3 linked regions of the Oryzias latipes genome follow. The protein of the gene in region 3 interacts with the protein of the main gene of each other region in a biochemical or structural test. Links are inferred from orthologs where the notes say so. Each region holds a gene or a part of one and is shown on either strand. Other genes may lie near its edges.

Region 1 (4,183 bases), on a different chromosome or scaffold from region 3:
CACCAGAGTGCAGATTGATTAAAAAAATAAACATAAAATACAAGCACATGCCTCACAAAATGCACAAAACTACACAAAAATGATTAAAAAAAACTAAAAACTAAGATTTGTTTTAAAAATGGACGCATTCCGTTACTTACACTATGGGTCTATTAGTGGATGGAACCTGGGTAATAACAGAGCTAGATGTTGGCGATGGGAGAGCTGGCTGTATTACAACATTAGCGTCCGTGGTTGCTAGAAGTACATTGGGAACTTGGAGGGATGCAGGATGGACTATAGTGGATGTTGGCAGTGAGGCAGGCTGCAAAGTTAAGTCCTGAAAACATCATACAAGACCTTAGCTGCAGAAATGTTTAGTGAACACCAGCTTAGTTAGTTACAAGAACTTTTTGCAAATATTTTTTTGGTTGGTTTTAGGATTTCCAAATCAAAATTAAGAGCAGTGTTTGAATAAAAAAAAAAAAGAGAGTGGGGTTTGAAAATAAAAAACAAATAAATCGAAGAATTCAAGCAGGTGAAAGAAGAAGTACAATTTCTATAGTAAATGAATGATTACAGAAACAGGAGGATTCTTAATTATTCATGTTTAATAGCACTCCTAAAACCCATTAGAGAGCTAACTAAACAGAAAAAAATCTACCTTGTCATCGTTTGTGGTGGACTCAGGATGAGGAAGGGGGCTGTTCCGATGTGCATCTACAGCTGCGGGTTCCTCAGTTTTGTTGCGTATGACTGGTGTAGCAAGAGGTGACAAATCCAGAGGTAGCTTTGGGAAGGTTAAAAGAAAAAGAAAAAAAGCAGATATAAACTCTGGACTTCAGAGATCATCCTAAGAGAAGATTTGACAGAAGTTACAGAACAAACTCAACCTTCTTCAAGTCATCTTCAGCTGCTTTTTTGAAGTCATGGTCAAAAGGACTGGCAAGTTCGTTGAAAAGCCCGACTTCCTCGCAGTTTTTCAAAAAGCGAGTGGGTGTCGGCGTTTGATCTGTAATAGAGAAAAGAAAAGATAAAAGAAGAAAAAAATCACACTTAAGGAGGCAAAAACACACAAACATCTATAGACATAAAACTTAAGAAGGACTCACCAGCAATTATGATATTGTCGGTCCTCGCTGGGCCAAACTTTAGTGTCATCTCGTGTTTGTGTCTGTGGACAGCCAAGTGGTCTTCATTTGTAAATCTCTGAGCAAGGTAAAAAGGAAATAAATGAATAAAAAAACAACTTTATTCTGCATATCCTTTGAGAGACAACAATGACTCACAATGTTAAATATGTTAAAATACTAACAATTTCAAAAAGTAAACGGTGCATTGCTAAAATCCAAAGAAATCAAACCCTAAATAAACATAAACATAGGCTTAATGTGTGTTTTTATGTTTATTGTGACTGTGCGCGTACATTTACCACAATAATTACATATTTTTACCCTTTAGCCAACTTTACTTTGGCACTAGAAATTAAACAGTTGATGTGACTTCAAAAAAGAGATGCTTTTTATTATTTGACCCTTTTGTGAATCCTCAAATTGGATGCAGACTCAGGCTTTTATTAACTCCAGTGATTCTGTTTTTAAGTGGATTTATCTGTACCACAAATAATCACAAATCCTTCAAACAGTAACTTCAGCTTTTAAAATGTCTGATAAGAATGCACAAACTACGTTTTTTAGTTGAATTATTCGATATTATCAGCAAAGATAGCAAATGTATGTAAAATGTACACATTGAGTACCCAAATATTTGGTTACCATATTTGATGCATATATATATATATATATATATATATATATATATATATTAAAGTTAGTCTCTGGAGAAATACAACTACCGTATCTCAAAACATGTAATATTATAATACCTTCAACGTTTTTAAATAATCTAGAATGTAAAGATGTAAGCTCAACAACTCCACCATATAAATTTACAACACATTGGAATTGGTTTTTTTCCTTCTATTTTTCAAAAAATAAAAATAACTGAATCACTAACTAAAAAGAAATAAAAACTATGAAGAACTATGTCAGCTTACCTGTCCACATCCTGGAGCAGTACACTGGAAGGGTTTGTCATCACTCATATTAAGAAATTCTTGCTATATTTTTGTCCTACAATAAATGAATAAAAACAACATATTTCATCTCAATTAACTTAATTTCCATTTAAAACAGAAATAAATTCAACAGCCACAGAAAAGACAACCACGTAATCGTGGCTGATCAAAAGGAGGGTTAGAGGGTTAATTTTTAGATAATAGTAGAAATGACTCGAGACTCGAGTGGGACTGTTAAGGGCAAATCTAGTGAAAGGACAAATAAGATTTTGGACAAAGCCAGTGAGGAGGTGGGGTTGCTCTGTCTGTGCTTATTTATTAGCTCGGTGATGCAGTGCAGGGTCGTTCGGTGTGTGGTCGTTCGGATTGTGTATTTTTCAACACGAACAAAGAAATTATGCATGTTTTTTGTTGGAAAAAAAAGTTTCACGTTTAATTCCGACTAAAGTCATCACACAACAAAAGCTACATTATGATCCGATCCTCCGCTCCAGCCTGAGCTGAGATAACGCACAGCCGTCGCCATGTTAGAACCAACAAATCACTAAACAGATAACCTTTTGGTATTTAATTTGAGGGGGATTAATTTCACTTGGAAGAAAATAACACCGATTTCAGATAAAGGGTGCCCTTTTTTGCATTTGTAATAAAACTCGCTTTCAATTTGAGTTGTTACTTACCCCTTTAGCCACAAACGTTGTTTTCCCAAACCCCAAAGTATCGCGAGAAAACAATTTCTTCTTCCGTAAACGTCACACTAACCCAAACGCCGTAAACATACTAATGGACACTAATAAACCCATTTACCCATAAATTTACCCATTTACCCATAAATTCAATATTTTATAAATAATTGCCATCATTTCTACTGCATTACAACTTTATTTACAGTCTACGGAACCACCTCAAGTTAACATTCCTTTTTTACTCAAAGGCCAAATTTCTTTAAAACAATTCAATTTAGAGAAACATTATCGTGTACTCTATATTAAATTAAATCACAAGGAACTATTTTTGATTGAAGCAGTAAACAAACCACATGGGTAATTTATATTACAAAAAAAAAAAAACATTTGGTCAACTTTGTTGCCAAATATTACTAATTTACTGACTTCCAAATGACAATTACTTTTTAACTGAGAATTTTGTTCTGATGGACCGTTTTAGTGGCAACTCATTCATTTGACAAACCTCGAAACCCTGTTGGGGTCGGGAAATAAATTCAAAAACCCAAATTATAATTCAATCTAGATTTATTCAACGTGATTTACAAAAGCAAGTAATCACTTGTTGCCTCTTACAGTTCTACTTAACTGCAACTGAGTTAAGTGCTTATGACGGTGGACCCCATATAACTCTCAGAAAGCAAGTTGATTCACAAGGGGAGAAGATGTTCTGACATTTGTGAGAGCAAACTGCTTTCAGTTACCATGATATTCCAGACATAGACGTTGCTGCCACTGATAAATACTCAAATGCATGTATTAAATTCACGCACATTGTTATGTTTGTACATGTTTTGTTTAATTTTGACTGTGTCGGAAAGACTTGAAAAATTTACATTTCCATGACACCAACACTGAACAATTTTAGAAGCCACAATAAAATATGTAGTCACATCTGTAATGAAAGTGTTGGGAGGGCAGTGCTTTACATTGCAAACAGGATCAGAAAAGCAACCATCAAACAGAATAGTCCCATAGCTTCAGACAGGGCGAAACCCAGGATGGCATATGAGAACAGCTGCTGCTTCAAAGATGGGTTCCTGCAAACAAAAAGAAGTCAATAAATGTAAAGAAAACATTTGAATTGTACCCCAAAAAAACATGTACACAGTGACCAAATGGCAACAAACCTGGCATAGCCAATAATGAGACTACCGAACACTGTTCCAATTCCAGCACCAGATCCAGCGACTCCGACTGTAGCGGCTCCAGCACCAATGAACTTGGCGGCGGTGTCAATGTCCCTGCTGATGGCACTGGTCTGGAAGCCTCTCAGTGTGACCTGTGTGAGGGGGCTTTGTGGCATCACAGCAACAGAGCTCTGCAGCGAAAGACAAAAAATGAAAACATTCACTTCAAAGAAACACCACAGACAGGCATGGGAAATACAGTTACTGTTAAA
Region 2 (3,001 bases), about 14 Mb from region 3:
GACAAACTGTGAGAGGTTGCTGGTCTGTTTACTGACTGGGTGAGACCAACAAAGATCTTTGTATCTCAGCAACTCAGACGATGCTGAATAAGGCAAACAGGTAGATCTGTTTACAGTCAAACCCTCCATTTGTCCCTACAGATGTTTTAGTGATGATTTAGCACCAACATGTGGAGCCTCTGGATGAGTCGACCTGTGATGATTCTGTCTTTCATTCTCTGTCCTTTTTTTTCTCTTTCTTCTCTCCCTCCATTTCTCCCCACTAGACCCTCGTCAGTCCCAGTCCTCTCCTCCCTGGTCATACGAACAGACGTATCCGTCCTACCTGAGTCCCATGGCGTCCCCCTCAGTCCATTCCACCACCCCCCTCTCCTCCAGCAGGGGCACGGGCCTGCCAGCCATCAGTGACGTGCCCAGACGATTGCCAGGTAGAAATCCTCCAACTCGTTAGGGGAAAAACGAGTTGTCACGGGGACAAACAAAAGCAGAAACGTTTACAAGAGGGGGAAAAAAAAGTTTACCAGCAAGCTAATTTAAGCTGTGAGTCACGAGTCGTTTCTGCAAAGAAGTTCAAATGACGTTTCAGCGAATAAACTAGATGTTTCCTTTTTTTCTAGAACTCCTTTGATCCCAAAGCAGCACGAGTAATAACAGGCCCACAAATAATAAGAGGCTTGAAACTTTAAAAGGTCCTGCAGTGATAGACAACTTTCTCAAGGCATTGTAGCTTGCAATATGTGCAGCATCTGTGTTGCAATTTGTTCCTCCTGAAATCTCCTGTAAAAGCTCAAGACAAGTTTCTCCTTCGTACACCTGTTTGACTCTCTGCCATGTGCGATTTTTTTTCCATCACTCTTTTTTTTTTTCCTGTTCTCCTCTCCTCTGTTTGTGTATGTTTATATACGTCTGCATGCTTGGAGCGATTCGGCGTTGCAGCCATGAATCAGACAGAGTTTCAGATCCAGCCAGCTGCTCCGCCAGCCTTTGATTTGTTTGGTCTTCCCCTTCGGCTTTCATCTCTGCGAGTGTGGAGCTTTGCTCTCGAGGCGCTGCACATGTGAGAGCGTGCACAGGCCCCGCTGCACACCTCGCACCTCCAGAGGGAAGTGCCGCTCAAATTCCTGGAGATCGTACAGAAACACTGCGATAAAGAGGCTTCGGCTTGTGCCGGTTTATCAGGTCGAGTCATAACATTTCATCGAGAAGGGATGTTTGTAAGACCCACCTCCAAACATTGGTCTTGCCCGTCATCACAGGCCGCCTTCCAGAATGAACAGTGGCTCCAACATTGTAAAGGAAGAGACAAGAGTTTACTGAACAATGTCGGTCAAGGGACAATTACTATTATTATTAGAATTTAATTGATCTGCTGGAAACTTTAACAACCCACTCCGATCTCCTTTTGGTCTATTTTCAAATCAGAATGCTTTATTGTCATTCTACATAATGATACAACTAAATCATAGCATCCTTGGAGTGGTAAATACTATAAATCTAATCAAAAAATATACAAGACCCAATAAAAATACAGGCATGAAAAAATAGAATAAAGAAAGTGTCCCCAGTTTTTTTTTTATCTATGCCATTTTTAAGTTAAAATAAAAAAACCTGTGTTATTTTCTAGATCATACTGTATTTTCTTTGGACTATAGGCCCCACCGGAGTATAAGTCGCATCAGCCAAAAAAATGCACAATAAATCATTATATAATTGATATATAAATCACACTTTTGAAAGAAAACTATTTAACAAAATACAGGAACATTTCATCTTGCAAAGCAAATCATAATAAAGGAACATCTGCACGCTTCACTACCACAGTAAAGCTTCACGAAAGGAGGAATCTAGTAAATTAGCTCAACATATGGACAATTATCAAGATAACCACATTATAAAGAACAAGCTAACAAGTCAACTAAACTCTTTATATCACTTCAAATCCATTGAAATTTTCATCCTCTGTGCCACTGGAACAACTCTGTAAGACTCAGCGTGGCATCTTCTTCTGCGTCGGTCTCAGTAGCAAATACTTTAACACCTGCAGTGAGTGCCCTCTAGTGGTTGTTGCTATTTATTTATTTTTAATTCTCATACAAGTTGCACCCAAAAAAACATGGTAGTTTCTGCAGAGCGTCAGTAGTTTATTAGAAACTTGCATCTAAATTGTGAGCTGGACCGTTGATGCACAGCAACCCCGCCCCCACTTCCCGACACCCATCTGTTTTTTACATTCTCTCCTGCTAGCTTAAAACCCTTCCGCCCACTAGGAACATTTCAGCTGTACAGTTTCCACCAGATGCCAGCTCGGACGAGGCAAACAAAGACGTACACGGATCTGATCGTCTACAAGTGGATGCATCAGAATGGAGCGGAGCAGGGAGCTTCTTTCTAGCGTATTTTCTACGTAACAAATACGATCTTTTTCAAACCAATTTTTTTCTTAAATACAATTACTCAGACATGCAACTTTAAGCTTGATTATTTTTATATATGTTCTCCGTCATCAGAAAAGTGCCACAAGACCATGTGAAAACCACCTAAACACACTTTTTATCAGAGTGGGTTCATAAAGGCTTTTAATTGGCAGCATGTGCTATCTCGCCAAAAGACTCTGCAATGCCGCCATGCGCATAAACTCGCCTCCTCTTCCCTCGTCTTCCCCGCCACCCCCTGTCCTCTCACAGCAGACATGGTGACACAGAAGACGCCTGGTGATTTATGATAAGAGCGCCATGGCTGGACTAAACCACCATGAGGCGACGGGTGGGAGGGGGGCAAAAAAAAAAAAATAGTCCTTAAACTCTTCTCCCAGCAAAGAGCTCACCGCAGCCAGTTAGTGGTTTTTCCTTTTTTTTGGGGTGGGGGGTGGTATTCTTTAAGGGATGAAGCAAAATGAGGGACGAAACAGCTAAATGGAGCAGCTCCCTTTTTATTATTATTTTTTTTATTTTTTTTTTGTGAAATCCTGGAGCCGACGGGAGGCGAGGAGAGGAGCCACATC
Region 3 (4,187 bases):
ATTTTTTCTTTCATTCTGATATAAACTGAAGTGCATGAACCCTGCAGATCAAACAAAACGAAATAAAATAAAAATATTGTATTCAGAATGATTTGCTTTTGGTACCAGCGAAACAAGCCCTGCTCAGGCACGGTCAATCAAAATAAACGTAATCTTGTATCCGCTCTGTTGTCTCGTCTTTTTCGGTCAGAACGGCTAATGACTAATTTACCAAACCAGCGTAGTTATTGTTCCTTTCCGTTGGATATACCGACAGTTTCGGTGGCTCTCTTTGCAGAGAAACCCCTGAGATGTGCGAATATAAGCGGAAGTGAGAAAAAAAAAAAAAAAAAAAAGAGCCGTCAGCCCGCAGCACAGCCACCGACTCCACTGGAATTCTATATTTGGGCACGGAAGTGCAACGTGATTGCGCAGGGCGTTCAGGACAAAAAGAAAATGCAAGAGAACGCACTGACGTCAAAGCCCTGACGTACAGTTAGCCTTGGCAACAGAAGAAAAATAGCTTGAAGCTACTGACGCTTACGAAAGCGGAAGACACTCAAATTAAACCTGTGTATAATATCTCAACATTATTCTCGATAGGTATATGATTAAAGTGACAATCAGGCAAATAACTGCGTTAATATATATTTTTTATTTGCACAACATTCGTCTGTAAAAATAAATAAATACAAATTTCATAAATTACAATGTTTTCACAGAAAACTTCACAGTCTGATGGACTTGCAGACCATGGCACCACAGCAGTTTAATGAAAAAAATAAAATAAAAAAAATCTACTTTGACATTTAAATAACAAAAAACAAACCAGAATTATACAGCTATTGCTCTGAAAACACATTTATTGACAACAAGTATTGTTATCTAGCACCATAAATATAATAGTAACTTAGAACAACTAGGTGTTTGTTTTTTAAATATATATAAATCATGCTTAATAACTTGCTACATTGGTGTTAATAGGCAAGTAGAGATAAAGGCAGGTAACATATGATTTGCCATCTGGTGCATTCCTGTTCCAAAGCTCATGCCTCTGCACAGTTTGATAATATTTCAAGACTTGATGGGAGGAAATACTTTTTTTTTTCATTGAAAGTCCTTAAAGAGTTAGCAGGGTGGGTGAGTTTAGAGAGTCTGAGGGATGGTCATTGCTGTTGCTTCCCCTCCTGTGTGCAACGCCACAGGTGGGGAAGGTCTCAGCTTCTGGGAAGTTGAACACCAGAGAGAACGTGTTGGTTGTGCAGGCTGGAGTACAGGTCACCACTGGTGTGCACAGGGGCTCAAAGTCAATGTTGGTTGAAGAGGCATGAAGAGGCTCCCATTCCTGGTTACTGTAGAGGGAGCTGGAAAGGTCAACCTCTGGCACAGACTGTGCCGTCTTTATGTCCGCTTTTTCCAGCAGGTCCAAAGACTCCTCCAGAATGGAAGCCTCGAGGTCTGTCATCTTGACAGTGCTGTCGGAGGTGGTGGTGGTCGTGGTGGTCGAGGTGGTGGTGGAGAGGACGGAGCTGGAGAAAATAGAGTTGGAAGTTGGAGGGATGGTTTGCTGGCTGGAGGTAAATGTGGGCATGGAAGACTCTGTGGTGGAGAGGTATGGGTGGGTGGAGGAGATTGAGGTCAGGGGAACCTCGGTCTGCAGCTCTGATGGGATTTTGCAGATGGGCTGGTGGGCAGCCAGGATGAACTCCAGCCGTTCCTTCTCCTTCAGCAGGTTAGCAATATCATTCTGCAGACTGGACTTCTCATCCTCAAGCTGGTCAGTTTCCTATCAGATGGGAAAGAAAGAAAGTGTCACTTAGTGGGATGTTGGATTGGTTATTAAGCTCTGGGAAAGAACACATTTTCAATAAGTGAGGGTAAATCTGAAGGGATACTTACAGCTTGAAGGGTGTCTGTGAGCTCTCGCCTCCTGTTACGGCATTTAGCTGCTGCCTGCTTATTTCTCTCTCTGCGGATTCGTCTCTTCTCTTCCTCCTCAGGGCTTATCTGCAAGAACAAAACAACAAGTTGAGACTCCAGCTCTAAAAACACATTTCAGCTGTTGCATCACTTGAGATTTAGAAAAAAAAAAGATAATTCACCTTTTCTACTTTGCCACGTTTGGAAGAGCAAGCCTTGGATGAAGACCTCAGGGATGATCTGGGGTAAGCAGGACTGGGGCTGGAGCTGTAAGGGTGAGCTCTGTGGGAGGGGGCCATTGAGGAGACCACAGGCTGGACCATCCACTGCAGGTCTGGACTTGTTGAAATGGCTGTGACCGTGGGGATGAAGGAGGCACTTGATGCTGTCAGGTCAGTGAAATCCTGAGAGAAAGAGGGAGGGGAGTCGGGAAGTTAGTGATGCTTTCAGGAGGGTTTTAAAACACTGGGCTTTAAAAATATCTCAATGATGTCAGCTCTGACGTTATGTATCCTCGGTGGAGTGAAAACTGCCTTGCTCTGTGTGCAGCAGGACAAACATGCTCCTTAATTAATTTTTTATGACTCTTTATAAAAAAAAAAAGTAGCTTGTTTTCAGGTTTTATTTATTAATTCTAAAATGTTCAAATTAATTTGAAAAAGTTTTGAATTAACCTGGCCCACTGACTTTCACTCAATTTAATTATAAATTAAAGTTCAAAAAGACTGTGAAGCCATCTAAGCAATCGTCGTTTCAATTTACCTGAGACTGAGGAGATCCCATGCTGGAGTAAGAGCCCGCAGGTGACGGGTAGTATTCCAGGTTGTCTCCGGACGGAGACGCGGTGCTGCAGCGGGAGGAAGAGTCGCAATCTGTGCTGAAGGCGGTGAACATCATACTTCCCGGAGAAAACAAGAAGGAAGATTCCAGTAAAACTCCTCTCAAAAGTGGGTAAATTCCTTTTTGTGGCTTTGAGAAAGTTCCTTGAGCGCTTCTTCTGAAATGGAGCAGGACTTTCTACTTTGCTAATCGAAGTTGATCTAGTTGCTCCAGCCGCTCAGATCGGTTTTATATCCTCCTGGTGGTGTGACGCAGCGCGGGGGAGGAGCCTAAAACCGTGAGAGTGAAAGCGCCAAACAATCACATAGCAACGCCGCTGTGGCGGGAATTATGGCTTTTGTTTCGTCAATATACAGTCATAGTTAGCGAAAACACAAGTTATTTGTAATAAAACAGCAAAAAGAAACCCGTTGGAGCTCGTTTAATGTTCAATTTGACAAGAAATGGAATATTCCATAAACAGGATCGGGATCCCCGAATCCTACGTCATTTACCATATATGGTGCATCCTGTAAAGGGGCGGACCTTGATGGGAAACACACCATCCGACATTGGCCGAGCGGCGACACGACCTTACGTAAGACAACAAACAGCGAGGCTGCTGAAAAAAAAACTGCAAAAGAAACGGGATAACGATACGAAAAGTTTGTTCTGCCCAAACAAGAACAGTAAACAAAAACTAAACATCCAGATTTTGGGGGATTAAATGTCACACGAAGTTACAGTTAAGGGAAATGATCGTTCTCTTCTGGTTTCATTTTTTTTCTCCTCTTTATCCAGTTTTGTATCTTACTTTTTTATTTGGACACATATTTAAAATGTGGAAATCTTTTTCCACGCGGTGATTTTTCTATTTGGATAAACATAATTAAGAACAGTTCAAAGTGGGACAGAAGTTCACACCCTGACCCTGATGCAATGCTTGTTCCCATAAAAGGGCGTGTTCAGCTCGCAATTGCTTTGTTTGCAATAGTTGTCCTAGACAGCGGATTAGTTTAGTCTAGGTGAGGTGTGCCCAGCTCTTCACAAAGGTCTTCCCCCAAAGGAAAGAGGGAATCCTCCACCTTTCACTTGATTTAAATCCCACTCAGCAACTGTCACCTAAAAGGGACAACAAGAGGCAGCTTTGAAGCTGGGCCAATAATCCTGACTCAGTGCTCTTAAGGAAGTTTGATAATAAGACAACCTTTTGCTTATTTATTTTGTTTTACATTTGCTTGCTGATTTGTATATGGAAATATCTATAAAATAGGTTGTTCACCTTTCGGTTCATCCCGTTATGAGTCTCCACAGCACTCAGCACAGGTGGTTTGGAAGAGAGTTTTTACGCCAGATGCCGTTCCTGACACAGGCCTGTCTTTTCAAGGCACAGGGAGACCCAGGCAGCTCATTGCACGCCCTGGGTATTGAACCCAGGTAACATGTATACAGAATTATGCTTGTTATAT

Evidence for each region.
Region 1: the proteins of c-fos (region 3) and atf2 form a complex in vitro, tested with the Homo sapiens proteins (3 studies listed by BioGRID and IntAct, with this or other methods). The link is inferred for Oryzias latipes from reciprocal best matches to the Homo sapiens genes FOS and ATF2.
Region 2: the proteins of c-fos (region 3) and runx2 form a complex in vitro, tested with the Homo sapiens proteins (2 studies listed by BioGRID). The link is inferred for Oryzias latipes from reciprocal best matches to the Homo sapiens genes FOS and RUNX2.

Annotation. Positions count from the first base shown.
Region 1 is NC_019879.2:22,381,752-22,385,934, forward strand, and holds the start of atf2 (cyclic AMP-dependent transcription factor ATF-2), read right to left. Parts: upstream 2,813-4,183; 5' UTR 2,737-2,812; intron 2,112-2,736; 5' UTR 2,084-2,111; coding exon 2,036-2,083; intron 1,189-2,035; coding exon 1,092-1,188; intron 992-1,091; coding exon 873-991; intron 770-872; coding exon 644-769; intron 320-643; coding exon 141-319; intron 1-140. Other genes in the region: atp5mc3 (ATP synthase F(0) complex subunit C3, mitochondrial), read right to left, coding at 3,707-3,821, 3,912-4,102. UniProt on the Homo sapiens protein: Transcriptional activator which regulates the transcription of various genes, including those involved in anti-apoptosis, cell growth, and DNA damage response.
Region 2 is NC_019882.2:3,176,083-3,179,083, forward strand, and holds part of runx2 (runt-related transcription factor 2), read left to right. Parts: intron 1-266; coding exon 267-428; intron 429-3,001. UniProt on the Homo sapiens protein: Transcription factor involved in osteoblastic differentiation and skeletal morphogenesis. Essential for the maturation of osteoblasts and both intramembranous and endochondral ossification.
Region 3 is NC_019882.2:17,151,973-17,156,159, forward strand, and holds c-fos (c-fos protein), read right to left. Parts: upstream 2,942-4,187; 5' UTR 2,797-2,941; coding exon 2,662-2,796; intron 2,304-2,661; coding exon 2,082-2,303; intron 1,987-2,081; coding exon 1,879-1,986; intron 1,766-1,878; coding exon 1,500-1,765; coding exon of another isoform or gene 1,464-1,499; coding exon 1,100-1,463; 3' UTR 616-1,099; downstream 1-615. UniProt on the Homo sapiens protein: Nuclear phosphoprotein which forms a tight but non-covalently linked complex with the JUN/AP-1 transcription factor. In the heterodimer, FOS and JUN/AP-1 basic regions each seems to interact with symmetrical DNA half sites.